Linked DNA regions of Lytechinus pictus. Each later gene encodes a partner of the first gene's protein in a complex. Links are inferred from orthologs where the notes say so. Each region holds a gene or a part of one and is shown in the gene's direction. Other genes may lie near its edges.

Evidence for each region.
Region 2: the proteins of integrator complex subunit 2-like (region 1) and integrator complex subunit 1-like are in contact, whole or in part, in a cryo-EM structure (PDB 8RC4), measured with the Homo sapiens proteins. The link is inferred for Lytechinus pictus from reciprocal best matches to the Homo sapiens genes INTS2 and INTS1. Residues at the interface, in NP_065799.2 of Homo sapiens: Pro40, Leu54, Lys69, Leu72, Arg73, Leu75, Ser76, Gly77, Val78, Glu79, Val81, Asn82, Val85, Gly125, Thr127, Leu128, Glu131, His132, Glu166, Val172, Tyr173, Glu176, Arg322, Gln325, Gln326, Arg329, Gly400, Lys402, Thr769, Met772; in NP_001073922.2 of Homo sapiens: Gly561, Ile562, Ala563, Trp564, Asp565, Lys566, Gly567, Ser982, His1055, Met1056, Thr1058, Pro1060, Glu1095, Arg1096, Thr1098, Ile1099, His1102, Leu1107, Arg1225, Ser1250, Phe1251, Gly1252, Ile1253, Tyr1285, His1288, Glu1291, Val1292, Gln1293, Glu1295, Arg1296.
Region 3: the proteins of integrator complex subunit 2-like (region 1) and integrator complex subunit 7-like are in contact, whole or in part, in a cryo-EM structure (PDB 8RC4), measured with the Homo sapiens proteins. The link is inferred for Lytechinus pictus from reciprocal best matches to the Homo sapiens genes INTS2 and INTS7. Residues at the interface, in NP_065799.2 of Homo sapiens: Gln27, Lys28, Val29, Cys48, Arg51, Met52, Cys55, Ala56, Ala58, Asp59, Gln60, Ser61, Trp64, Phe92, His93, Ala186, Glu187, Pro189, Ile194, Val218, Asp220, Ser221, Asn223, Glu224, Ser259, Leu262, Lys263, Arg265, His285, Gly294; in NP_056249.1 of Homo sapiens: Leu38, Gly39, Glu40, Cys42, Glu43, Val46, Arg47, Asn77, Phe78, Leu81, Cys82, Leu84, Lys85, Gln88, Gln89, Asn114, Asp115, Pro116, Val117, Ala120, Ile121, Arg124, Val153, Glu156, Val159, Phe160, Ala163, Leu195, Lys196, Pro199.
Region 4: the proteins of integrator complex subunit 2-like (region 1) and integrator complex subunit 6-A-like are in contact, whole or in part, in a cryo-EM structure (PDB 8RBZ), measured with the Homo sapiens proteins. The link is inferred for Lytechinus pictus from reciprocal best matches to the Homo sapiens genes INTS2 and INTS6. Residues at the interface, in NP_065799.2 of Homo sapiens: Ile855, Asp856, Pro857, Leu858, His895, Arg923, Glu925, Leu926, Lys927, Ala929, Leu930, Ala932, Ala933, Gln934, Ser936, Ala937, Gln940, Ile941, Glu944, Asn1010, Lys1013, Leu1014, Phe1017, Gln1018, Gly1019, Tyr1020, Pro1021, Ile1046, Ala1047, Gln1048; in NP_036273.1 of Homo sapiens: Ile484, Val486, Arg487, Ser488, Arg489, Phe527, Gln528, Val529, Ala530, Leu531, Leu532, Asn533, Phe541, Arg542, Asn543, Ala544, Tyr545, Ile547, Arg549, Leu552, Leu553, Leu556, Met559, Arg560, Asn562, Leu563, Leu564, Lys565.

The regions. Positions count from the first base shown.
Region 1 is NC_087246.1:9,593,127-9,600,972, reverse strand, and holds the start of integrator complex subunit 2-like, read left to right. Parts: upstream 1-4,845; 5' UTR 4,846-4,948; coding exon 4,949-5,232; intron 5,233-7,846. Other genes in the region: probable thiopurine S-methyltransferase, read left to right, coding at 251-363. UniProt on the Homo sapiens protein: Component of the integrator complex, a multiprotein complex that terminates RNA polymerase II (Pol II) transcription in the promoter-proximal region of genes.
Region 2 is NC_087254.1:32,366,342-32,373,721, reverse strand, and holds the start of integrator complex subunit 1-like, read left to right. Parts: upstream 1-4,374; 5' UTR 4,375-4,461; coding exon 4,462-4,507; intron 4,508-7,346; coding exon 7,347-7,380. UniProt on the Homo sapiens protein: Component of the integrator complex, a multiprotein complex that terminates RNA polymerase II (Pol II) transcription in the promoter-proximal region of genes.
Region 3 is NC_087251.1:16,406,568-16,413,690, reverse strand, and holds the start of integrator complex subunit 7-like, read left to right. Parts: upstream 1-4,108; coding exon 4,109-4,226; intron 4,227-7,033; coding exon 7,034-7,123. UniProt on the Homo sapiens protein: Component of the integrator complex, a multiprotein complex that terminates RNA polymerase II (Pol II) transcription in the promoter-proximal region of genes.
Region 4 is NC_087260.1:11,488,281-11,495,288, reverse strand, and holds the start of integrator complex subunit 6-A-like, read left to right. Parts: upstream 1-4,005; 5' UTR 4,006-4,184; coding exon 4,185-4,295; intron 4,296-4,508; coding exon 4,509-4,586; intron 4,587-6,174; coding exon 6,175-6,324; intron 6,325-7,008. UniProt on the Homo sapiens protein: Component of the integrator complex, a multiprotein complex that terminates RNA polymerase II (Pol II) transcription in the promoter-proximal region of genes.

The DNA.
Region 1 (7,846 bases):
TGAAGTACAGTATTGAAGACGCTAGGATCGAGTTATTAAAAGTCACATTTATAAGTGTAACTGTTTACTTTATGCATGTTGAATATTAGCTCTCTGATGTTTTGAGTCTGCCTGAACTTATTTTTTATTGTGAATGTTACATATTTGCTTGTTAATATTGTGTTTTTGTATTTGTGGTTTATTTTACTTTTCTTTGATTATTTTTCCGATCCTGTACTTGGCATCTTGTGCTCCCATCTCATCATTCAAGGAGAGAAATTTTCCATCGAGCTTTTAGCAGACAATGATCACATGAACCAGCATTTCAAAGACCAAGGGCTGACATGGATGAGACAGCATGTACGCATCATGACCCTCAAATAACTTCATTCTTAGCCAAACTCTGTCATCGAAGTTATTTGTTATCAAATCAAAGAGTCAATGTTGACTTTTATTCATTGATAAGAAGATAAAGCACATATTCATAAATTTATTAATTTGTATCATTCTATTATATTTTTCTATGCATTTATGTATTAATTCATTTTGCTTATATTTTGTGATTTAAATTTACTTATTTAATGATTAATTTATTAATGTAGTCTATCATTCTTTTTCTGTCAAAGTGATTTACCAATCAATGTATTTACTTGCATGATATATCAAATATGTAAATTATCAGTAATGCATGGGAAATGTATTATAATGTTTGTAGTATATTTCAAATCTGTGATATTTGATCATTAGACATTTATAAGCTTTTTAAATATTTCATTTTTACATCTATAGGAATAGGTCTTGCATAACAGCAGTTTAAGTTGTACATACATGATGTGTGAAATTATATAGCAAAAAATAAACAGCTTTCACTTTATTTGTGATACACAACTGATAATATTCAAAATGGCAAAAAGAAGCTGCTGAAAACTGCTTATCTAATAAAAGAGAGCCAATGGAGTAAATTAGAAAGTCAAAAAGGAGCCTAAGCTTTCGATCCTAGCAGAATCTTCGTCGGAGGCAAAATGACAAACATATAAAGTGGAACAACCATAATATAGACCACAAACAAGCTACAGCAACACTAGAAACAAGGAGACAAAAGGGGCATTAGTGAGTAGAGAAGACCAATCAGGTTAGTGAAGGGGATGAAAGAAAAGGAGTAGGCAGACACAAAGGGAAGTTAGTGTAAGTAAGGCCAGTAAAAGACCTCAAGCCAAGAGGGATTAAAATAATGAGGCAGGCAACATCAAACAGGATCTGGAACAAAACAGTGATAATGGGATGAAAAACAAGAGAATTAGTGAGAGGTGGGTCAAACAGGTTACAAAGAAAGGCTTAATAAACTGGTTCATAAGAGTGGGGGGGGGGAAAGGAAAAGAATGGGGAACAACTGATAATGTGCAAAAGACATAAAAGTATATATGATAAAGCATTAAACAAACTAAGAGAAGAAGGTAAGTGTAAATATGTATCTATAAGTGATATGTATATAAATATCATCCCATTATCACTGTTTTGTTCCAGATCCTGTTTGATGTTGCTTGCCTCATTATTTTAATCCCTCTTGGCTTGAGGTCTTTTACTGGCCTTACTTACACTAACTTCCCTTTGTGTCTGCCTACTCCTTTTCTTTCATCCCCTTCACTAACCTGATTGGTCTTCTCTACTCACTAATGCCCCTTTTGTCTCCTTGTTTCTAGTGTTGCTGTAGCTTGTTTGTGGTCTATATTATGGTTGTTCCACTTTATATGTTTGTCATTTTGCCTCCGACGAAGATTCTGCTAGGATCGAAAGCTTAGGCCCCTTTTCGACTTTCTAATATTCAAAATGATAATATTCCATATAAATTTAATTATAAATAATCTATGGTGCAAAATTACTTCCTGAATTCAAATTTCTTTGTTGCATTTACATTTACATGTATCCAGGAAGATTCGTAAATTTCATTTTCACATCTGATGGCAGAACTCTGCCTAAGAGAACACTCCTCTATCCCCATTCCCCAATTATTGTCAAATATAAAAGTGAGAATAATGCAAAATTAAAAAAGGGGTAGGGTATTAAAAGTATAATGTCAGAGTCAGTTTGGTTTTATTTTATAACTTATCTTATTTTTGTGCTTAATTTAGCTCCATATAATCTTGAAAAAATGAACATCTCTTATATTTCTTACTTTGTTTAAGCTACACTGCTAGGACTGCACACAACAGACATAGTTGTCTACATGCAATACAATTATAATGGAATTTGTATCTTGAATATGAAGATAGTTAGAGATAATATGTGCTTATATTATTTGTCAACTGTCAAATCGTTACAGCTATTACTATCCCTTCTTATCCAAAGAAAATGTATTGAATTTTGAATTTTAGTAGTCTTTATGTGAGAAATAATTACTGGCATTTTATCAAAACAAAAACTGATTTCTTTTGAGATCTTATATAAAAACCACTTTTTGAGCATGAAATTAGCTGAAATTAACTAGTACATGATATAATTGTAAGTTCTGATATGCAATCAATAAATTGATATGAAACATATGTTAGTGTTAAGTGTGCCTTTTTGTAATGAAGAAAAAGAAACATATAAGAAAGAAAGGATGCTAGACATTCTCATTTGTAAAATTCACATTAATATAAATTATCAACAGTCACTACACTTCTGTAACCTTGGAGTGTTTGATGATACCCCTGTAAAAAAAATCACATTGTTGTATGTATGTTTACAAATGTTTTTGAAGCGCTTTCACTGAGAGTTGTGTGATAAAAATGTCAGACTTATGGATTTTAAAGTTTTAATTTTGTGATATCATATGCTAGCAGCTCCATAATATATTATGTGACAAAGTCCACGAATTGTATTTTTTCATAAAATTGAAAACGATTTTATCTGTGCACTCAATGTATCAGAAATATTGTGTACATGCTCTAAAAAAGACAAATAGTTTTCATGAACCATTTAGGAGTATTATAATGTAGATGTGTATAGTGGTTTATATATTTTCTTATGATTAAAGTGATCTACCTTTTGAAAATGATGACAGTTAATCGTTTTGCTTACCAAATAATGATTTAACACCATTATAGAAAGTGCTTCTGAGAGACGTCCTAAAAGAGAGGAGATGAAAATCAGGAAATTAGTTATAACAGTATAGTTGTGACACTTCTGACTGCCTATGTTCTTGTTAATTGGGCAGAAAGTAAACTTTGTTGGCAATGATGGATAGAAGAAAAGAATTCATGCTATCTTGTTGCCCAGCCATAACAAACTGAGACTGTAGCTATGGCTATGAATTTAGAGTGACGTATTTAAGATGGTGACCGCTTTTGGGCTGATACTAAAGAGCTTTCATTTGTCTTGTAAAACTTGACATTAATAACAAATGCATTTTTTTGGCAGTATATTTTTGTAAGTTGGTATCTTGTTTTTTTATAACAATTTAAATGAAACATTAATCAAGGGAAAGGGGAGGATGAAAAGTGGCAAATGATAGAGAAAGAGGTAGATAAGACGAGGCATTTCAATGGGGGTAATAATTTACCCACCCCCCCCCCCTAAAATTAGAAATTCCACAAACAAGGAAACAGGAGGGGGAATTAAAAGGGATGATATGTAATATCTTGTCAATGCTATGTCAAAATCTATTTTTAAAAATCACTTGAATAAATTTCACTTGTAAATTTTAAAAGGAAAGTAAGTCATGCACCCCAATAAAATATTGATTTGAATAAATGTAGAGAAATCCAACAAACAAATCTGAAATTTTCATCAAAATCAGATTCAAATAAATTAAAGTCACCTAATTTCACAAAACATTTGTCTGCACAACCTCGCCGGTATGTAAATAGAGAATTGATGACATCATTACTCACTATTTCCTTTGTGTTTTACTATATGAATATGAAAAATTCAATTCTCTCTAAATTAATGTGAGTTTAATTTGATTCCTCCCTGGAAGTGTTGAATTGCCATGTAGTGTTACCAATTTTGTGATTTTGATAATCTTGTATTGCCAAGTCTGCACAAAATGAAATTTTGTATAATTCAACAACAAAATGCAAATTAAAGAATTAGTGAGTGAGTGACATCTTCTCTCATTTGCATATGTGTAACATGTTTGTGAAAAATGAGCAAAATTTGTTAATATCACAACTTTTTCCATTTCATGCCCGATTTGCACAAAATTTTCAGCATAAAAATTATGCTTTCCCTCTTTTTATTCAAATCTAATTTTTGTTGGGATGGAATTGCCCTTTAAGATTTTTTTTGCCTTCTGCACTTAACCCTTTTGGCAAATTATTTGCATGGCAGGGGAGAGAGGGGTGGGGCTTCGAGAGGCTGGAATATATATAAACGAAGAAGGCTATGGCAGATGAGAGAATGAGATGGTGAAAGAGTAGAGAGTGAGGAAGAGTTTGCAGATGAAAGAGCTATCAAGGGAGGGAAGAAAATGGTGGTAGGATGAGAGAGTGAGAGGGCAAGAGAATGAAGATTGCAGATGAGAGAGAGACATCGAGGGAGGGAAGTAAGTAGGGTGCTATGCAAACCATACACTCTCGATCACTGTCAGTTTCGGACAAGAACTATGTGCTCCGATCCGGAAAGAGGTATATACAGTATATATTATTCTTTATATCATTATTTCTTACCTTGTTCCGACTTTGTTCTATTCAATTTTCTTTTTTTTTTCATGTATTTTATATTGTCTGTTCATTTATATATCTGTTTTCTATTTCTTTTGATCATTTCCATTTTCTCTGTATTGTACATCTTTCTGTTTCTTGCTTATTAAATTATTTGGCGACAAAGTATGCCACTCCGAAGAAGAGGCTTTTTTTCCTTTTTACCACTTTCATTAACGACACCACCATAACTTCACAGAAAAATAAAATCAAGGACTTAGAATATGACCAATTCAACTTGAGACTTAGCAATAGTGTGCTTAAAAGGTAAATAACCTTTCAAAATCATGTTATCAAGACCTGTTGTATCACCTGAAGCCTTCCAGGCCATGCAGAATGTCGACATCGATGCCATCGTGAAGCTAGGAGAGAATAAACTGAGGGTATTGCTGCCATGTCTCGTTCGCATGTCGCTTTGTGCTCCTTTGGACACCAGCAACAATTGGGTCCAGGGACGCAAGAAGCTTCTACGTGTTCTCTCCGGCCTGGAAGTCGTCAACTCTATCGTAGCACTCCTGTCCGTCGACTTCAGTACGCTTGAACAAGATGCTTTGAAAGAAGCGAAGATGAGGTGAGTTAGACTTAGAGTTAGACCATACGTTTTAACAAAGTCTCCTTTTTAGAAATGATTTTAAAACCAAAACTGATAATCGTACTAAGTAAAAGTAAAAGGGGAAGTTCCCCCCCAGGGGCAGGGGCGGAAATCTCTCTCAAAACTAGGTAGGGGGGACAAGGCCAGGGGCTGGAAAATTTGACAAGCAAAAAAAACAAGGTTATCACCCCAAATTTAAGGTCATTTCGACGAAAAATAGATTTGACAAGCCAAAAAAAATAGTTATCACCCCCAATTTCAGGTCATTTCGACCAAAATAATTTTGACAAGCAAAAAAAAAAAGGGTTATCATCCCCCCAAAAAGTCATCTCCTAAAACACGTTTTATTTCGATTTTGAATGATGTATTTCTTACCATCATTAATTTTTTTTTAAAGACCACAAAGAGTAGGGGGGACATTTGATATTGTGTCCCCCCTACTATTTTGAGTAGGGGGGACAGGTCCCCCTGGGACTTCGCCCATGCCCTGCCCTGAGTTGAACAGCTGACAAGTTTAAGAAAAAATATATAATTTTTATTTAATATTGCCAAACCACCAAAGGCCAAAGCCAAGGCAAGCCAGGTTTGAGAAAAATCTATCAACGAATAAAAAAGTAATTAGAATTTTAATTATTTGATTTGTGACGTGATGACGTAAAATTCGAGAAATTTTCCTACAATCGTTTGGTAAAAAATCGATTCAATGAAATGTCATTTTCTCAGAAAGTTGAAAATGGTTTTTACTGTCCTTTACTCCTAAGGCTTCAGTATACTGTTCCTAAAAAGAAATTAAGATATATCATTAAAAAATTGAAATTGATGCATTTTATATTAACATGCATGACCATCACATTGTAGAAATGTAATGGAATTTTTTTTAGCTAACTAAATTTATGATTAATCAATTTACTTTGCAAAGATTATGATGCGCATTGAATAGGTAAACAGACTCCAAATCTTTTTTTTCCAAGTATGCAGAATCATGGCATTGTTTGCATGTTTACCCTTATGTTTGTTTATTTTTGCATATTCATGTTTATGCCATTGTTTATGTCATCTATCTTCTGGAAACAATACAGGCCACTGTCTGGTGTATTGTCGTACTGGTCTATGTTGTATAATATGCTTAATATTGCCACCCTGTATCGTGTTCGGTAAGAACTGATAGCCTGGGTTTTATGTTTATTACCTTTCTTTATTTTATGATTGATCAATAAAGAGGATATTTAAAAAAAAAATAACATAGGGCTGCTGCTTGATAATGATGTCAAATCAGGGTGCTACATAAGCACTTGCCCCATCGCCCGGGGCAAGTGATTTGAAGTAAAGACCAAAACTGCCCGAATTGGGCAAGCAAAATTCTCACAGTAGAATTACCAAAATTACCCTAAATTTGGTCATGGCGGGCAAGATAAAATCACTCTGTTAAAAAATGCAAGAACGAGGTACATCAGTTCATGTCAAAAGAGAAAAAAAAAGGTCAATGGTTTCTAAAACCATAATATTTTCTTTTGAAGAAGTAAAACTTTTTTTCAAGGATTTTTTCGGGCAAGTGAAATAGATTTTTGGGGAAGTATATTCCAACTATTTAAAAATTTACTTGCCCAACAGGGCAAGTTCATCTAAAAAGTTATGTAGCACCCTGTGTCAAATATCCAAAACTTTCTTAATCTTTAATGGATTTTCCTCAAACCTTAATACTTGGATTTACTTGGATGCAGAGACATGAAGCTAGAAGCTTATTTGACCCTCATCATGTTTGGTTGTCTCTGATATGGTTAATATTTTAATGGATGGGATTTCCAGTGCCTCTCAATTGCAGATTTAAATGTATAGCCTACACAACAAAAAAAGTAAGTCCCCCCTAAATCAAATTGCTGTAACTTTCGAACGGAATTATTTTGAGATATGATATTTCTTAGGTGGTTTTCTACACTCATTAAGCAACTCCTAGGGAAAAATGAGATTGATCGGTTGAGTCATGCATGAGTAATTAAAGATTGAATTAAAAATGACCATTTTTGAAAGTCACAAGAGACGTTTTTCAGATTGTGCAAATACAAAGTTGGGAAAAAGTTGTTGTTAGGTCATTTAGGTGAATTTTATGGTGTTAATGCCGTTTTACTATCCATCATTTAGCCACTCCACACACAATTTTGATATCGTATGTTCATGGTTGAGTGAGCACAATATTGCAGGGGCCGCAGAAGCGGGGGTGGGGGGGAGCTGGGGCCCCCCACTTTTTTCCAAAAGCATGTACAAAAATGTAAAAATGACCATACGATTGTGATTTTTTGCATGGTCAGCCCCCCCCCCCCCCCAACTTTGAAAACCGTTCCGCGGCCCCTGTATTGTGACGTATCATCATAGGGGTTTTTGGAAGTATCCTCTACAACTTGTTTGGTCATATTAAAATTTGAAAATGTTGGTGGCTCCCCCGATTATAGGGCCCTCCCCCATTTTTTATTTCTGGATCCACCCCTGATTTGTCCATAAATTAAACTGATCATGAGAAATTGTTAGAAAAGAATACATTTATGCAGTATAAAGAGTATTCATTCCTAAGTTTTTGAATGTGCTCGCTCAAACATGA
Region 2 (7,380 bases), on another chromosome or scaffold:
TAGAAAAATAAATGAATAAGTAAAATTTTATCTTTGTGATCACTGGATATCATGCGCACTAGCATTATTTGATTTGTCAAGTATCTATTCTCTTCGTGTATTCCATAAAGTTCTCAAAATATCCCTTTTCAGGTCTGATTGTCAGCGCTGTGCGCTCGCATTTTGATTGGCGAGTTTTGTACGTCTATATTAATTTCGTGGGGAGGGGGGCTTCGCGGGATAGCCGCATATGGTTATTATCATTGTTGCTGTCATCTTAATCATCATCATCATCACATCATTAACCCTAGTACTTGTATACTACTACTACTACTACTACTACTACTACTACTACTACTACTACTACTACTACTATACTACTACTACCACTACTACTACTACTATTATATTATTACTACTATTACTACTACTATATATTTCTAATACTACTACCACTTATACTACTACTACACCATTAGCATTGTCATCACCACCAAATCTCAAATAATTTTATGACCGTCATCTTGATGATATACTGCTTCAGTGTACACTAATATTTTAGTCTCCTTTGACGACATCCATGCACCATGCATGCTTGAAGCTTCTAATGGTTTTGAATATTGAAGGGGTTTTAATTTTACGATAACACTGTCTGTATATTGAAGTGCCTTTTAAGGTGCGTCTCCTGGAACAAAAGTTAGCAACCACACGAATAATATTTCAAAACTCCTTTCTACCTTACAAAATTCGTGACTAGCTAGTTCGATTTGATGGCAATTTTAGCGTCATATAATGTCATTAGGAGAACCTTTTTTGTAGAAACTTCAAGGATGCCATGCACTTAGCGAAATTGAGCAAGAAAAAAAAACATCTGGTTTGGAATTAATTGTACACTTTTCACTATTCTTTTGGCGTTTTTTTTTTTTTTTTTTTTTTTGGGGGGGGGGGGGGGGGGACTCCATCAGCATGGATACTGCACGTAGCCCTCACCCCCTTCCCCCTCAGATATGCAAGTGGTAACAACATAGAGTAAAAGAAACATATTGCTGAAAAGAAAGATTTTGAATAGTCTTTAAGATTATATTGGAAGATGATGCAACATTCAAAATTTGGAATGAAATTAATATTTGAAATATATATCAAATTGTTATGGAATTAATGTGATTTTAAGTCTCCTATAAACGGATGAAATTGTAAGGTTTTTTTTTTAAAAATCGGTGTCCTAACTTGCCTCCGTGTTTCATAAACGACATTGATTTGGTTAGTCAGCAGTAACTCATCGTACACTTAACTTAAGTATAGAGTATGCCTGTATTTTTGTATAAATTATCCCCCGCTTCCAAATATGCTAGACTGGTATGACTTCCCCAACATTCACGCCAGTGTATTCAAAGGATGTTTTGATTGGTTTATGATCAGTTATAACCATATCAAAAAATCATTTGAATCATAAAATTCATATGCATATATACTCTCATGATGCAGGGGATATAACATTTGCAATATGCTAAACGTATGGATTTGTCATGGCCAAAATATTGTAAGATTAGATTGAGCGCGGGAGCATAGCAACCGCGCGAGAAATTGGCATTTTTAGAATGCAAAACTGGGCAAATAAGCACTTTGGTCACATTTAAAGATGAATCCACACATTAACAGTAGTATTAATCACTTGATGATTTAAAAAAAAAAAATCGTTTCTGTTTTGAAAAGTGGGGAGGGGGAAGACTGTGACTGCATGCCACCCCCTCTCCGGAATGTGGGGGTTGTATCCCCATCACCCCCCCCCCCCCGGGGATTTACGCCCGTGGAATATACAAAAAGGCTTGTGTTTTTCATCAGGAGGTGGCTCAAGGTTTGGGCAGTATAGTGCATAATATGATTATAGCGTACACTATGGTGGGCAACATATACTGTCCACTGTGTTGGGTAATGTATGTTGGTAAATATATATATATATATTCTGGGCAATTATTATCCAATTGAGCAATTTATTACCCAATTGTTAGTTTTTATTACCCAATTTGGACAGATTTTAACCAATAGTTGTGTGGACAGTATGTTGCCCAGTGATGGTTAAAAATTGGGCCTTGTTTTGCCCAACATTTTTAAGAGTATATTTGGTGATGAACGTCTTTTTATCTTTTTATGACTCGATCGCCATCTATATTATCTCCAAACAAGCGAATAGATTGACGCCCATGCAACAAAGTAATAAACAAAATCGAAGCTTAATTACATCCTTAAAGGTAACAGGATGGCTTTTTCAAATATCGTATTAAATATAATTTCAAATCGTGAATGTTTGTGGATTTTAGCACAACATAATTTTCATCCAACTCTAATGTTATTCAAACATAAGTTACTGTGTAAATTAATAGTTAAAATAGTTAGTTGTAATGAACATTCTTACCAACACCCCAGAGCGGCAAATAAAAGTGACTGATAAACTCCCACTCGGTGTCGATCTAAAGTTATTGTCACGGCGGTTGTATCAACATTTTGCACATTGCTCAGTTATATATACAGCCACATCAAAAATTTAGTTTATCACATGATCACCAAGAAAATATTTCACAACACAACCAAGCACCAATGGTAGGATGTTTTCCAATCTACTTAATACACGGTTAATAAAAATCATCCTCTTTACATAGCTTAATATGATTTTCTTTACAATGACGCACGCTTAACTCGTGGCGTATATACGTTGAACTGACATTATTATTATATTACCCACGCTCAAAAACATCCACGACAGAGAAGAAAGGTTAAAAATCATGATGATATGGTATCGTGAATTATAAGAAAGAACTGTATTGGCCCCAAAAAACAATATAGGAGATTCATTTTGTCATAATTGGGGGTTATCCAAATACGATATTTTTCAACAGAGTCAAAATTCGGATAGGGGTGCGCAGTAAATAATATTGAAGCCCAGTTGGGGTACAGGCTTTAATTTGCCAAAACTGTTATTCGAGCACTGAATCTTCAAGGGCGTAGGCTGGTTTGAGCATAGTGAGGTGGAACCGGGGGGGGGGGGGGGACTAAAGGTTGGAAATTCAGCTGTTGAAAGCAGAAGGGGTAAAACAATTGTTTTGCTTGCCAGTGTCGGAACTCCTCTGCCTCAGAGGGAGAGTGCTCGACCACCCAATGCACTCCAGCCTACGCCCTTAATCTTTAATTTAGAGCAATGTTTCTTTTATCTTTTCTAGGAGGATAGTTAAAGTGGTTTTGAGATGTACATAGTAGAAATGCCGTTTTGTCACTGCCCCAAATCACTATAATAGAGTCAAAGTAGGGGTAGGATACCTTCGACAGGCCGGCCCGGCTCCTGTCACGTTAGGCTGTGAGCCAGCTGTGAGATACCAAAACTTATTTCCATGTAACCTGCATATAGCAATATCTCCTTCAAGTTTTTCAAGAGGTTTTATAAAAATTATAAAAAGTTGCTTTACTTATCCAAGCCACTGGCGGACTTTGAGAAGCAAAATTATTTTTTTTAATCTAAAAATGGCATTAAAACAAAAGTGTGCCCCCCCCCCTTCGAAAGTGAAGGCCTTTTTTTTTTTTTTTTTTTTTTTTTTTGCTTGTAAAAATTTTTCGGCGACGAAATATCATTAAGTTTTAGTGGTTAAAAACCCCCTTTTCTTTTGCGTATAACAAATTTTCCCTCGAGAAAATGTGACCCCCCCCCCTTTTGGAAAATGCTGGATCTGCCCCTGATCCAAGCTATGTTCTTGAATTGTATACCAACGATCTCGTTGGTTTCATTGGTGTGACTACAACGAAAAGGTTGATCAATTATTGGGGGTTCATTTTAGCACAATAACGAGTAATAAGGGGTCTACTGACGCATTTGCCCTCCATCTAAGCAATTTATATACTGTTATGTCATGAAGCGTGTCAATATGAATCTCGTTTGTCGAAAACTGATTGTCCATTCGGTTGCTGATGTTCATGATAAAACAAATAACAAAGTTTTGACCAAAAACATGGACATTTTGGCTCAAATTTTCCCCTTTTTATCGAAATCTATCACCTGACTGTTAAGAAAACTATTTAAAACAATTTATACTTTCAAAATCATAGCGAAACTTAATTCATTTACAATATTTCCACAGTCTGGCCTGGGTAAAAAAATGAAAATCAATCCAAGATGGCTTGAAAACTACAAATTTTGAACCCACCGTGGGACAAGGCAAGGAAACATCAAAATTCATTAACTAAACACTTCAAAAATTCGTTAAAAAATACGTTCTCCGATACAGGCGATTGTGCATCTCCCGGGGCATCTCCGACTCTTGTCTGCAATACCAAAGCTGGCTCTGGCCTGGCCCAGTCGAGTCTGGGTTGTTATTTTTTCCATGTACCTTTTTCATTTGAGGATACTGTACCCATTCGTAAATTGAGAGTTCTGTTCGAGAAGACAGCATGTGAAACTCTGTGATTTTCCACAAATTTAAAGGAATCTGTTAACATATGGAGAGGGGGAAACTGCCCCCTAAGAAGCCCCCGATTCGGCGAGGTAATAAATATCGTACAATTATACAGAAATCGTCTATTTTATGTTATTTATTTGTCATTTTATATCCTGATTTATTGAACTACCGTCGTGGGCAACGCGTGCGTGGACGTGGTAAAGCGGGAACAATGAAGATGCACTGCATTAGCAGCGGGTGTACCGTCCACGTCCAAGAGGCAAGAGATCTAAAGTAAAACCGAGAAGTGCGGCGCGAATCAGTGCTGTAGCGATGCCAAACCGGCCGCGCGTTTGCATCGGTATGCTCTGCCCCCGTGTAAAACATGGTCTCAGAAAACTCTTTTCCAGTCTTTAAATATTCATTCAGTAACACTCTGACCCACAAATATCCGCAGATTATCAAATTAAAATACGAAATTCTCACTTTACATTCTGATTTGAGGTTAGAATCGCCAGATATTTTGCACTTGAAATGTGTCATTGAAACCTGCCTGATCGGACGATGCGCGCGACCATTTTGAATCGCAGAAGCCCGAAGTGGAAAGTACTGCTCCTGTCATAATCATGTGACACACAAGATTTTGACTTACACCAGTGTTTGTGGCAAATTGAATCGTTAGCTTAGTACTTTTGCTCTGAAATTATGTCTAAAAAATCCGATTTTTTTTTTTTTGCATTTTGATATCATGATAATGATATGTTGAGATTTTGTTGATATGGTGATTTGATGATGACATGAATGTTTTGACCCCTTTATCGTACCCCTACACATGAAAAACCAAAAAAATCCCAGCATCATAAGATTCTTTGAATTCTAAGCTTTGTAATGATGCCAAACTTGTTACCAATTAGTAAACCGCGAAATACCGCCAGCGGGAAAGACTGGGGCTTGCACTGTCCTCAATCTGGAAAATTTAGGGTCAATGCGGATACTGTAGTTTGTTGAGTAGGGGTGATTGGTTTTTGGTGATTATGTAACAGATATTGATGGACCTTTGTTGCCCTTTTAAATCCTGATTATGGCCCAAGACCCCATCTTTTTTTTGCCCAATTTACTATAGATCTTTGTTTACCCCTTCCATAATTTGCCCCAGGCCCCTGCGTGGCATTACAACCCGCCCCCTCACCCATAATTGCCATTACTCACCCGACCCAATTTTTTTTTCTTGGGGGGGGGGGGCCCTATGTTACACGTACCCCAAACATTACTGGCCCTTGCCCCGACCCCATTTTTTTGGCTACCTTTACTCGTCCAACCTCACCGGTCCATGCCCCCCCATCCCGACCTAATTTTTTTTTTCTAGCTACCTTTCAGTCGTCCAACATTACTGGCCCCTCCCCCTATCATGACCTTATTTTTTTTTAGCTACCTTGACCTTTGTCCAACCCTACCGGCCCCTGGCATAAATTTTTTGAGGGTAATAATGGATGCAGCTGGGCAAGTACCTCTGCTCTTGACTTGTTAATTACATATTTATCTCATTTGCATATTTACTATTTTTTGTAGAAGATAATATTCTATGAATTTGTTCTTGTGCAATTGAACATCATATCATTGATTATACTTGTATCCAATTTATTTGTAATGAAATGGACCATACACAAGAACAAACATCATTGTAAAATATACAATATGTATACTACATGTATATTGCGTCATCTCATTTGCATATGCATTTAAATTTGCATATTTTAATACATGTATCTTGTTTGAATTATATATTATACTAGTTTTTAATCAAGGAATGGGCCACTTGACATATTGTTGGTGGTTAATTACATCATACATGTAGTTTGAATAGAAATATTTTTAACATACATGTAGGTTTACAATATGCGTATCATTGCATCACACCCTCATTTACATATAGGATCTTTGGCATTTTAAATTTGCATATTTAACTATATGAAACACTGTTTTTTTAATAGTTTATATTGGTTTAATCAAAGAATGGGCCAATTGACATTTTGGTGGTTAATTGCCTCAAAATCACTAGCATGGGTGAAATTACAAAGGCAAATACACATTCCGCATGAGCAAGAGACATTTTTAATGATATGCGTGCATATTTAATTAGATATTTGCCTTATTTGCATAAATTAAGAAAAAACGTAGTCTTATTGCGAAGAGCAGGTCACAAGCTTCAAAATGAATGGTCACAACATATGTAAACAGTAAATATTTTAAATGATGTGGCATCGCTATCAGTGGAGCACTGCCACTCTCCATAGCTCAAACGTCAAAGTATTCTTAAAACGATCGTATCAGATCTCTTTTCTTATTGTGTATCATTTCTCTATGAGAAAGGAACACAAGTTGAGTTATGCTCCAGCTGGAGCTTAAATTCAAGTCAAGTGAATTGAAAGAAGGAAGAAATGAAAAGAATTAAAAAAGGATAAAAATAACTTTATTTCTCCCTTCTTGACTTACTATTAAGAACCAATAAAAGAATGAAGAAAGAAAAGGAGAAAAAATAAATAAACAAGTGAATGAATCTAAGGGAAAAAAAGAATGGAAAAAAAATTAAAAGAAGGCAGAAAAAATGAAAGAAAGAAATAAAGACAGAGAGATAGAAAACTGGAAAAAAGAAAGAAAGAAAAATAGAGACAAAAAAATATATGCAAGAAAAAGTAAAAGAAGGGAAAAAAACTAAAAAAGGAAAGTAAAATAAAGAATGATTGAAACTGAAAGTAAATGAAGGCAGAAGAATTAAAAGAAGGAAGAGGGATAGAGTAAGTATGGTGGTGTTTAATTGATAAGTACCCCCTCCCCATTCTGGCTGGTGCTGCCACCCCACCCCACTACTCTAGAGTGTAACTTGCTCAAACGTGAAAGTTGCTTGTTAAGAAAGCTTTTTTAATGTTCATTTTGCTTTGTAACTAGGCCTACCGTTGCCCGACAAGATCATCCCCCTGGG
Region 3 (7,123 bases), on another chromosome or scaffold:
CGATTTATCTTCATATCAAAGACACTACAATTGAAAGACTAGACACAGAAATTATCTTACACGTAAATCGATGCAAAGCGTTACGCGAAGTCGGCAAAGTGTTCAATCTTTTTACTGTAAAGACTTTGGTGGAACGTTAATTGACAAACGAACGGTAGCACTTGCTGGGCTTTGTTCAAGGTACATAGAATTTTCTATATTTTTTGTTTAATTTGTCATCGTTTTGAATATTTTCCAAAAAGTATTATCGTCAGCAAAAATAATAAAAAAGTATGTTTTTTAAGTTATTGCATTTATTGGGGTCTCTATTTTATCAAACAATTATTGGAATTGCGCATACAATGAATAATGAATCTAGTTTTAAAAATACCACCAAGCCGAATTAAGGTTGCGAACTGTATTAGCGCCACCAACGACCTTCCTTTTATTTCCGTGGAAGAGACGTGCGAAGCCACTTTCCAGGCGGAGGTAAGCGATTTTGCTCTTTTTTGTGTCCTTTTTAAATTAAAAAAATATGTTAAAAATTTATAATGGAACGCTTTCTACCAGAAAAAGCCCTGGGGCGGTATTCTGAAAACGTTCTTATCTTAATTTTGTTCTTATCTACGTCACGATCTGAAATTGGTATTCTGAAAACGTTCTTATCTTTTTCTTATCTTTTGTTCTTATCTTTTTCTTATCTTGCTAAACATCCTATGCTGAGCGCGTAAATGTATTACTCGCGCATATAATACAAAAGCGCGCTAAAAAGATAAGAACAAAATGAAGATAAGTGGTATTCTGAAAACGTTCTTATCTTTTCTCTTTCTTATCTTTCACGATATTTATGATAATATTTAAGATAGCTAGAGGGTTATCACGATGTCCGCGTTCTTTCTTGCTCAAACTCGATGGTCACTAGTAGTAACAAGTACCCACAAGTATTCATCCCACCCTTTCTTTTATTCACCCTTTATTTTGCCCGTCTCTTTTTTTCTATCCCTTTTTTCTTTATTTATTTTCTTTTTTTCTTCCTTTTTATTTGTCTGTCTTTCTTCCTTTCTTTCATTCTTCATTTATATCTTTTGTTTTATTCTTTTTGAATCTTTTAATTTCTTTAATTTTCTTTTGCTTTGTTTCATTTATTCTTCATCTTTCTTCCTTTTTTATTTTCCCTTTGTGCTTTTTTTTCTTTGCCCTTTTCTCTCATCCTTTCCTTTTTTTTTCTTTCTACCTTCACTTTTTTTTTTCTTTTTTTTTCTTCCTTATTTTGTTTTTCTTTCGTCTTTTTACATGCTTTTCCTTTTCCCCCTTTTTCTTACTTTCTTCCTTCCCTTAATTTGTATCTTCCCTTATTTATTTTTCTTTCTTTTATTTTTTCCCTTTTATTTTTGGGTTCTTTTTTCTGTTTTCGTTCGTTCGTTTGTTCTTTCTTTCATTTTGTTTATTTCTGCTTCCTGACACTCTTGTGTCTTATTTACTTTCTTTCTTCTATTTTATTCTTTATTTCGCTCATTCTTTTTTGTTCGTTCTTTATTTGCTCTCTTTCCTTACTTTCTTTCCTGTATCTTTCTTCTATTAATATTTAAAAATCTTTTTCTTTATTCTTTCCATTAATATTTTTCGTTTTTTTTTTAAATTCATTCTTCACTTTTCCTGACTTTTTAATTTTCCTTTTCGTTCCTTTTCTTTCTTTGAATTTACCTTTCTTTCCTTTTATCTTTCTGTAGTCTTTATTTTTGCTTTAATTATCCTTTATTTTTTTCTCTCTAATCTTTATTTCTTTGTTTCATTTTTGTTTTTTCTCTTTTCCTTCACTTTTTACATTTTTTATTCCTTCTTTTCTTTCTTACTGTCTTTCATTCGTTTTTTCTAACTTTTTTCTTTTTCGGTTCTTTATTACTTCATTTTATCCTTTCTTAATCTTTTTATTTTTTCCTTTTACTTTTTTTCCTTTAAGGTTATTTCTTTTCTTTCTTTATTTTTTCTTCCTCGCTTTATCATTGATAATCGTTCTATTTCTTTTTCCTTCTTTTATTCATTCTTTTTTCTTTATTTATTTTTTTCATTTTTAAGTTGTTTTTTTTTGCTTGCTTACTTTCGTTTACTCTTTATTTCTTTCATTATTTTCTGCTTTGTTCCTTTCATCTTTTTTTTTTAAATTTCTCCTTCATTCTGACACTTTTCTGTCTTCTTACTTACCTACTTACTTTCTTTTCTTCATATTTTATTCCTTATATTCGTACCTGCTTTATTTACTTTTTTCTTTACTTTCTTTCTTTATTTTATGCACGTGTCTCAAAATAATAATCAGTCATTGCGTATAAATTGCCTATTTCGCGCAATGCGCCAGAAACAGTGTACGCGCAGCGCCCATGATATTCTCTTGACATAAGGGACGCTTCTATTGGTTAAACTGCCAATATAAAGCGCATTTTGATTGGTAATATCCTAAAAATGGGCGTGTTGAAGATAAGAAGGAGGCAGTCCTTACAAAGATAAGAAGATTTTCAGAATACCGATTTGCAATTATTTTAGCTTCTTCTTATCTCAATGAGATAAGATAAAAGATAAGAACAAAGATAAGAACGTTTTCAGAATACCACCCCTGGTGAGTAGCGGAATGGGTTTCGGCTAACATCATTCACGTTATGAAGCGATGTTAACGACAACTCTAAAATCCACTACAAAAACACGTTGGTTGTGCGAGGTTCGTATAGCATATACTAACCTCGCAATAGTGTGAGTGCCCATAGGCTATACTGTGTGGGCTAGTGGCTGAAAATGGGCATTTTTAAGTCTTTATGCTGACCTAGACTGTTTGAGCCTATGTGAGCTGCCATGGAAACATGTCACACACAGTGGCAAATTGTATAGAACGGATAGCGGTGCGTTTAACGCTAGCGGGCATGTATATTTTGCTTATTACATGACGTCATCCAGCTACTGCCGAGAGCCAATTTATGAATGAAAATATAGTAAGCATGCGCAGTGAAAGCCTTCCATAGCCCCACACAGTATTCCACCAAAACAAGTGTGCAATTCTCTATCACCTCGTACAAAATCGACCAAGAATTTCACTTCTCTATAATGTATATGAATTATGAAAGGTATTCTCGGAGGATCTATTTTCTCAACGATACCGCACAGGTAAGCGAATTTCGATTACTTCTTGCTTTTCTGTCAAAATCTTACGAATTAGCGTCGATATCGCATCGTGTTCGTTGGAGTTTGTAGAGTCTATCGCAACGTGCACAAAGTCAATTGATTTCCGGGTTTCGGAGCGTCGCGTGAATATCCATGAAATTGCCGAGTCTCGATAATTTTCGATCGATACTGGAGCGATCCGATCGCAAACCAAGACCGTTTCCCGCGTAGACAATGTGAACAGATATCGTTATCGCTATCGATACTTTCGCACGCAGTCCGAGGGAATTATTTTGGCCACCACGTAGTCATGTGATCTGCGCGATTGACCAATCAGCGGTCTGCGATTCGCTGAGCTGAGACGGTCTATCCGTTGCACACAGTCTATGGACGATTTGCCACTGTGTTACATTGATAGATAATCAACTTGGCTACCAGAAAATGTGAAGATGTTGCTACATTTCACTACATTGTGCACTCAAAATAGAGAATGAAAATTTGAGGCAAATTCACCCATTGACTTTTTTGACACATGTCTACAGCACAAATCTGGTGCCATTGCCCACCCTAATTTCAGAAATATCCCGCATACAGCTTATCATAAAAGATGGGTGACACGAAAGACGGTCCTTGGAAAGACCCTTTCGTGCAATCAGCCCATGATGTTTATCGGTATTAAGCAGTGTCATGTCTCTCGCGTCTCAAGTCTCTTGACAATTATGTAACTAGCTGCTAGGTACATAATTGTTGAGAGACGCGAGTTAGCAGTTTCTCGACCTTTGAGTTCTCAACACCAAGTGTCTACTGAGGAGACTAGCTAGGGTGTGATATAGGCCCAAAACAAAAGGAACAACACCTTTCTATTTTGCATGTCTATTCTCTGAGACATTCTGGTGCTAGCGCAGGTGCCACCAGTCTGGAGAAGAAGAAGAAAAAGATTGATGATGATGATGAATGATGATGATGATCAATGATGATGATTATGGATGACGATGATGATGATGATGGAGGAGGTAGAGAAGAGAAAGCAAAGTCAAAGAAGATGAAGAAGACAAAGAGAAGTAGATCTAGACTAGACCTACAGAAGACAGATGCTACATGTAGAAGAAGGAGAAGACGTAGACGAAGAAGAAGCCAAAGATTAAGAAGAAGATGACGAGGGAGCCAGAACAGAAGGAGAAGAATAAGAAACTTACCTGGCCGTGTCAAGTCTGCAGTTTACCCAATTTCACAAAATCTTGACTCAAAGTAAAAGAATATGAATGATTGATGGATGACTTAACACATTAGAATCTGCTTTTTTTTTCTTGCCTGCATAATGTAGCACGATGTGTTTGCTGAGAGCAGCGGCGGCATCAACAATGAAATCTTAATCTTAACGAAGGTTTTGAAATGCACTCATAAAGTATATGGATCTTGTTTAGAAACTTGGACATAAGGATTATCAAGTATCACTGATTGATAATCTTACATGAGTTACAGCTCACATGACTAAGGTCAAAGGTCATGTAGGGTCAATGGACTTTGACCATGTTGTTTGTTTCAACATTGACATCTTAACCAAAGTTAAGTTTTTGAAATGACATAACTTTAGAAGTATATTGACCTATTTTTATGGAGCTTTGACATAAGTGCAATCAAGTATCACCAATCATTTTGCAAAAGTTTTAGGTCACATGATCAAGGTCATTTAGGGTCAATGAACTGAGTATTTTATTAACAGTGTTTTTCGTGATTATATCTCAGTTGTTTTCCGAGTCAGCACTGCTGCTACATGTAAACTGGGTACCAAAAGAAACTTTTACAAGGGCATTGTACAAACTCCACTCATTCAAAATGGAACAATATATTTACCCAGGTTAGCTTCAGTAATCTTTTAAAAGCACATGTCAATAGTTAAAAGATTGGTTCAATCACAGATTGACTGGAACAGCCACAGACAGATACAAAGAGGTTATTAGCTACAGATGTAACATTAAAAAAATTCTGAAATTTTCTCAAATGTCACAAAAAGCCAGACACGTGTTGAGACCAAAGAAGCATGATTGTTCTAAAGAAGTGTGATTGTTCCTGTCATTTAAAATTTTGATGTTAACTTCCTGTAGCTTCTTTGTGATTGAGTCAATCACTTAAACTAAATTGGGAAGTTTGTTTCATCCCATCTCATTTTTATTGGCCCTTTTTTTGTGCTCTTTTGTGACTTTAGATTCAGAAACCAATTGATGTAAGGGGCTATAGTCTCCCTGTGATTGAACCCCAATCTCTTCTAATAATTGACATGTGCTTAGTAAAGATTATTGAAGATAGCCTGTTAAAAATATTGTTCATTTTGACAGAGTTGAATTTATACAGTGTCCTTGTAAAAGTTTGACAAGTTTCTTTTGCAACCCAGTTTATATCGAATCGTGTAATGCAGATGAGACTTTCAAAGGCATTCTTGATTAAATTTCTTTATAAATTTGGCTTTCATGTTTTGTTCACCAGAGTGCTCAAATGTGTAGTTTAGAAGCCTGCTACTGGTGAATAACACAGATATAAATTAAAGTGTACATAATCTTGTTTAGATATTTTTAAGTATGCCATGTTTCTTTTGCATATGTTGCATGAGAGCGAAGTTGGCTCAGTCAGTAACGCGTCTGCCCGTCGAACCAAAGATCGTGGGTTCGAGTCCACCTCGGGCGGATGACTGAAGCCAGTGCGTTGTGTGTAAACGTCTCTCCCATGTTTCATAGATGCAGGCTATGTTACAGTGGAAAACACTCCGTCCCTCGGATAGGACGTTAAATGGAGGCCCCGTGTAGAGGAGAATCACCACCTTTGCACGTTAAGAACCCACTGCACTATTCGAATAAGAGTAGGGGGAAACCCCGGTGTAGTGGTCCACCTGCATTCCCCCAGTTATCGGGAGGAGAGACCTGCGGGTCACAGTTCTGTGTGCGCGCCCTTGTAGGCGACCCAGATTGGCTGGCTCCTCCAATGCGCCTTTGAATGTCTTTGACAGATACATGGCGCTATACAAATGCTGTGCATCATCATCATCATCATCATCATATGTCTTGGCAATAACACCAAAATCATTTGGCACATCCATTGCCATTTTGGGGGATTATGTTGAACTCATTGTTAGATCATTACCACAATGTCATTCAATTTACAGTTTACCTGTCTTAGTGGCAACCTGTCTTTAGTGATAACCTGTCTTTGGTAGTTAACAGAATTGTCTCTGAATTGAAAAGAATGTGTGTTAAAGAACCTGTCTACAGTGGTCACTATTTCTGTTTCCCTTTGGTGGCTTTAGTGGAGACGGTTGTCACACTGTGAATTCCTGGAATGGCATTGTACTTTGTTATAGATGCATTTTATCATACGACTGCTAAATTGTAGAAGGTTGTATACAGAGTTATGTGAATTCTTTACATTTAACAATGCCTTGTATGTGGCATCGCATCAACCTTGTTACACTGAGAGAATACCAAACGGCATGTTTCTACAGAGAATCGTTGAACAATATTACCCTCATAAGTATCAAGAATTCCGGAAAACTTCCCTGTAGAAAGAGACGCAATGCAGTTTATTGATAAACTGCATCGCGCAAAATATAGTTTCTTAAAACCACCTCTGGGAGGTGGTTATTGCCATGTTAATCTGTTTATTTGCGATGCGGAATATGAGTTAATCTGATTATTGCTCTGAAGAGATGGGTTGGTTTAAGGGCGATAAGGTTTTTCGATTCTGGAAAAGATAAACCGTTTTTAACGATTCTCTGTAGAAACACGCTGAATGATATAATTTGGGTGTGATAATAACCCAACACGAACAATAATATCAACAACAACTTAACAACCGCAACAGCTACTTGAATTCAAATTTCAGCAGAAATAATTTTCCATATTTGTTATTCTTTCAGGTCTTCATTCCAGCAAAGCTGGGGAGCAGTGTGAAGCTATTGTTCGGTTTCCCAGACTGTTTGAGAAGTATCCCTTCCCCATCCTAATCA
Region 4 (7,008 bases), on another chromosome or scaffold:
CAATAAAAACTGACAAAGAAATAGTGAGTGGGGAACATCATCGATTTAGATATCACTGAATAATGCATGTAATTTTTTTCTGAAAAATAAGCAAAACTTCAGAGAATATCATAACTTTCTTATTAGACATCCGATGGCGATGAAATTTCCGTTATTACGCTGCCTTGTTTGATTTTTCTCTACTAATTCAAATCGACATTTTTCTTGGGTGCATCGACTGGACTTTTACATGGTCAGTTTCAGTGGCGTACCTAGGATTTTTCCCGTAGGTACGCTAGTGGTCAGTTTGTACATTAATATTATACAACTTTCCGAGCTCTCTGCAACGACAGTGACGACAGCCTGACTTGGCGAGAGAGCGGGTGGATGAAAATTGTTAGAATTAAAATGCTGTTTATTAGTGGAACACTTTACAGCTTGAGTATTGCGGCAGCATTATTATTTTTTTTTCAATTTTTTAATTGTCTGGGCCGGTGAGGCAACATACTGAGGAACACTCCTGAATTGGGGAGGGGGCAAACGCCCCCATGCACCTTTTTAAATCTTCTCTCATTCATAGGCAATATCGGTCCCTATTTAAGGTATTATAATTATAATGCATATATGGCCCGCCCTTCTCATGCTTATTGGTAGAATTTACGCCAAAACAAGAATATTGTATGCCCCTGAAAAGAATATACGTTGCCTTACGGTTATCTAGTGCACGTGTCCCATAACAAAAATACTAATTACGTATATAAAATTGATATGCCATTTTAATGGCCAGGTCGCGACCCCCCCCCCCCCCCCCCCCCCCGATCCTCGTGAGGGGAGCACTGAGGGAGCATACCTCCTTCCCTTTCCCTATACTAGTATTAATGGCCTTCCCTTTCTTAATTCGAGCTCAGCTGTGGGTGTAGCGAGTATACTTGTTCTGTTTTTGTCAAGCAAGCTATCTTGCAAATTCAATGATGTTTATTATTTTCTTCGCTTGCGGTAGTACAGTACATGTATTTTTAGTAACGTCTTTTCTTATTGTAATCATATGCAAACTAGAGAGATTGACGTTGACCATAGAGATGTATACTAACTACGCTAGAGTGCGGAGTCGCCATAGGCGCGCGTACTTAACGTCTGTGATTGTGTGGAGCGTGGCGGCCATTGCTCGATAGGTATAGATTCGCAAAAGTACCCGGATGTACCCATAGCTCGTGCGTTGTAACGCTGTGAAAAGGGGTGCCGTCTCCGGCCTTTTTCTTGAAGAAAAGAACACAACCTCATAAAAATCGAAAATATGAATGACAAATTGCATCTCAATACACTATTAGAGTGATTACATGGGGATTATGCTATTAATTTGGCATTTTAAAAACCTGATTTCTCGGGATGAAATTCTAAATAATTTGCATTTACCTGTCCGTTTATAGGCCTGTAATAGATAACAATGTTGATATACTATCATATAAACAATCATATAAAAATAAAAACATACAGCGGACATTAATAGAAAGATTGACAATTAATTCAAAAGACTGCAGTGAATTAGCCCTTCTCTGGATTTCCCTACCTTTAACTGCATCGTCCTCCTTCCATCCTTCCCACATTTACGTCCTTTGATTCTATGTTTATGTTGGATATAATTTTGTAATTTCTATATAGGCCTACATGATATGTAACTTGCTTTAATTTGTATGAAATATAGGCCTATCATTTTTATATATTAAGTTGTACAATAATTCTGTATAAGTTAGTGTTTTGATCTACATGCGCTATTAAAGGGCATCTCATTATTGTTCTTGGTGAGCCTCCCGTTACACCATCAATGTTGAAATTTGTGTTATTTGGTGAACGTGCTGATTTTGTTCTTATAGGAACATAATAAATTCCCCCAAATCTGCAGGCCTATATGGCCCGAAAATAAAATATTGATTTAAAATGTCGAGAATATAGCCTAATTTGTTCAAACTTTTCAAAAATGACAGTTTTAATTCCCTTCACTTTAAGTTAGATTTGTTTTAATTCGCTTTTTAGGGGCCGTGTGTGCAATTAAAATAACAAACACACCTAAGCAAATTCGCTTTAACATACTGATCAAAATAAAATACAGGGGGCGCGACCGGACCCCTCCCTGAAATGAAAATGAACATTACACATAATAAATGATTGTGATTTTATGCACCCCATCACTTTCAAAATCATTCCGCGACGCCGTAATTAACATAATATAATAATTTTGTTCATCCATGGAAATCTTATTTAAAAAAAACTGATCGAATAACCAAACTCAGGTCCATAGGCCAGCAAATGACATTAAAGGAAGAAAACTAGAAAATCAAATTCAGTTATACTTTTAAAATGAAAAACAAAACTGGATATTCAAAACGCGTGTTTATCTGTTTATATGTTAGGCCGGTGCCAGTGCTTACAAATATTTGCCATAAAGTTCATTTATTCAAGCGACACAGACACAGTTAATTAACACAATTTCAAGGCAGGTATCAAATTTGAGATTAAATTAGGATTTTTAATATCTTATTCCAAGTATTGTCACTTTTGCAATATTATTGTTTCATAATTATGTTTGGTTTTAGTACTCACAATTTTGCAACCGTTTTCATAATTATGATAAGTTTGCATTGATGTCTTTCATGATATTAGTTTTATACACTCTTGCAGTAGTAATAATATTCTTTATAGTATAATACAAATTATATATCATAATCCCGCCCCTTTTCTTCTCTCCTTCTCCCCCTTCTTCCTCTCCTTATTATTCTATCCTTGATTTGTTCACATGATATTGGTCCAATCATTATATATAGGATCAGAAACAACGGCGATAAACAAAATATTTCAGCCAGTTTGCCGATCAGCGTATTTTCAGCCGGGGAGAATCAAGTCTATACTTTCCAGAAAATCAAAGTAAAATTGTTTTGCGCATTGTGATTTGTTTACTCTCCGAAGTTTTAAAATGTTTGCAAGGCAATAACACTGTACATAAACATCCAACCCCCCATTAGGCCTCCTGTACATTGCAAAATTGTACGACTGCATGCGCGCATTTGATATGCAAATTTTGCTGTCAACAAACTTTTCTATACATTGATCGCAAGTAAGAAAGTATACTTTTATATACATATTTATAAATATGATGGGATGGTTGCCAGCAAAGGAAATCTAAATCATCAATTTTTAACTGAATCAATGCGTAAATCATTTCCAAATATCAATAAAAAGTCATTTTATGATTCGCGAGTTTTTGTGATGTTGGTTTACATCAGCGTGTAAGACATGGGGAAAAGGGATCGAGTTATTATAGGCCCTATTGTGTAGATATATATGGAAAATGAATTATAACAATTATCTAAAGTGAAGAAATAAATTATCAGCAATCAGCATAATAGTGAAACTATGAACTATAAAAATACAATCGTGGTTTTTTTTTCGATACAGCGTCTCAGATGCATCAGACACTGTGATATGGCCTATGAATTTTCTTAGGTTAATGTACATCAAATCATATTAAAACACATTAAATTTATTTATCAGGACCTAGGCCTAAATGTTATTTTTGATATTCATCTCTTCCAAATCATTAGAAAATAGAAGTCATATTAATGTATCGAAATTTTACCTAAGCAAAAACAATTGGGACTTTAAATCGTTTGCCTGTATTATAGCTGTATCGGCCTATATTATGCGCTATAGATAGGCCTATATAGGCCTTTTGACCTCAGTTTTGCTAGATTTTTGTTGTATTTGAACTTTAATCCAGTGCAATATTTACAATTTTGCTTTTCCATATGCTTTCGTGCTCATATGTCATCAATTTGTCATGTTCTGTGCTCATCCGTGTACATGCCCCATAGGTACTGTACGCTCATGGCAGGCTGCGAATACCTATCGAGCAATGGCGGACGGTCTCCACGTAATCACAGCGATTTGACGAAGTACGCCCTCTAGCGTTACTAGTATACATCTCTATGACGTTGACCAATCACCAAGTTGTCACGTGACTAGGGCTGCGCTGCGATAATTTTCCGTACATTTATTTTTTGCGCGATGGGTTTTCGCTGCTGCTAAAATCGGCAGCTCTCGCGAAGCTGCCAAAAAGGAGGAAAGGGAATCAAATCTCTTATTTTGGGCCTCGTAGGCGATATTTCTACACAGTTTTGGCATGAGAGATAGATAAATTAATAAGGAACAAGATGCCGGTGCTAGTTTTTCTAATAGACACCAGTGCTTCGATGAATCAGAGGACACATTTGGGCACATCACTCTTGGATATTGCAAAGGGAGCTGTCGAGACATTCATGAAGGTAAACTGCAATGCATTTTGGGTGATCGATTTTTTTTTATGAAGTTCAGTGACTTTCTTTTTACGAAAGAATGATAGATTGGGTTGCTTACGATATATGATGCTGTTGTTGATATTATTAAATGATCATACTAATTTTTTTTAGATGTATTGTTGTTCATTTTAAACATTCATACTGTGAAATTCTTTTGTTTTTCTCATGTTGTAACGTTAGCTTCGCCTTCGAGACCAAGCCAGCCGCACGGATCGCTACATGCTGGTGACGTGCGATGAGTCCCCGGCTACAATAAAGGTACTATAAGGTCCTTGATTTTTCTCGTTTGTCATAAATTATAGTCATTTATTTGCGAGATCGCGATTCTTCAACACTTCCCCCACGAAATAATGTTGGGTTCATGTCGTTCTGGGTGGTAGATTCGCAAAATATTGCATGAAACTTAGCACCAGATGTACTTCCTCCACACAAACGTCCATCTTGTTTCAGACTAAAATTGTGGGTCACGTCAGGATATCGATCATAAAAGATCAACAACGATCAATATTCATGAGCTGAGCTGAAGTTAGCAGACATTAATGAGACAATGCATGCAGACACTTGTGGATTCAATGAGTATACCTGCCATATAATAATATTTAATAATAATAATAATTAGACTTATATCGCGCCAAATCCACTCTGTAGAGTGCTCAAGGCGCTTTTTAGGAAATTATAAAATAAATTAAGAAGAATTGAACAGAAATGTTTTGAGGTAATGTTTAAAAGTTTCTATATATATTAATATGATCAATAAATAAATTTGTGTTAGTTTTTCACTTTTAGTTGTGGTTTTATTTACATGTATGGGTAGCCAAATGTGACAAAAATCCCAAACATTTGAGAATCAATCTATCAACACAATCAACATTCAACCATAGTCATAGTCTTAGAAGTTAGAGCCATGGCATAGCCATAGGGTACGTATGGTATGCATGTTCTTTTCAAAAAGTTGATTTTATTTATAACTTTTGAGAGCAAAAGAAAGAGATAAAAATAATGGTGAAGGATTGTGAAAAAAATGACAAAGTTATGTTTTTTTGTGTGATTTTTTTCTCAAATTGAAAGTGATTTTATTTGTGTGGGGGCGCATCGATATGGTAAGTGGGAATAAGCCCTAATGTTAGGAGTAATAGCTATAATAGTTTTCTTCACCACTGATCGAACCATGAAGGAAAGACATTTTTTTTTAAATATAGAATTTAAGATCCTGAAATAGGGGAAGTTCACCCTGACGAAAGTTTATTGTAAAAAAGCAGAAAAAATAAATACTGGTAAAGGGTTTGAGGGAAATCCGAAGATTTATAAGAAAAATATTAGAATTTTTAAGTTTTTTATTTGTGAAATCATAAAAGCAGGAGCCCAATACGTTATTTGCTATAAAATGCGTAATTTTGCTCCTTTTTTTAAATAATGGTTCATGATTACTGTTTTTTTTAATTCCATCAGGATTGGGTGTGAACCTTGAAGAGTAATCCATTTCAGCAGCTTCAACGCTATCCCAGAAATAATTTATTTGGTGATATACAGAAATTCCAAAAACATTTTCATTCTTTTTCTCTTTTTTTTTTAGAAAATGACATTTCATAGATTTTTCTTTTATTACATTTTAAATGGGGAAGCTGCTTGCAAAGCCTTGCATACTACGATGTCCCAAATCCCAAAAAATTGTAATATTAATCTTAGGTGGATTTTTCTCAAACCTTTGCCAATATTTTTTTTATTTTTATTCTTTTCTTCTATTTTTGCAATAAACTTTTTGTCAGGCTAAACTTTCCCTTTCAATGCAGGCATGGGCAATTATTTACACCTAATGATTTTTAATGTTATTTTTATGATAATTTAGGCTGGCTGGAAGGAGAATCCTGCAGTCTTCATGACTGAGCTGAAGAACCTTCAGGCCACCGGTCTCACAAACTTGGGTCATGCCCTCAAGATGACCTTTGACCTTCTGAATGTCAACCGTCTCTACTCTGGAATTGACAACTATGGCCAGGTATTAAAGCTGTTTTCAAAGTTGCCTGGTGGCCAAGTGCCAGGATTTTTTGTAACGAAACCTTGGTTCTCAAACAATTGTGATCAGCCACACACCCCCAAACCATTAATACGTGGCCAGGAAAGGTTCTCAGTAAAAACAATTTGTTCTTCAAAATGTTGAAATTTCAGAATTAACTTCTCTCTGAAAGAGTAATTCTCCTTTTGCACAAGTAAATAAGACGAGATACAAGAGTTTCTTAGCTTTCTTTGACACCATTTATTCTTCGGACTGCTTGGAAGTTTCACTTAAATTGCACAATGTGCACATCTCATGCTTGAGTGAATCCCAAACTTCAGACCTAGTGTTCTCATTCTTTGAAGCTCTCATTGGCCCGAATTCAAAAAGGTGGTTTTTAAAACCCATGGTTGAATCCATGGCTTATGCAGATTTCCTGTATAAATTACGCTTAATTTAGCGTGTTAAAAAAAATGTCCGATGCTGATGCGCGCTTTTGTCACAGTGCGCCAATTGACGCCTGTTAACATTGTTAGATACACTATTTTATTCATGAGTCCACTGTTTGAAGAGTGGACTCATGAATAAAATAGCGTGGATAACCACGGCAACAGGCATCAATTTGGCGCACTGTGACAAAAGCGCGCATCAGCATTTGACATTTTTTAATATACACGGTAAAATAAT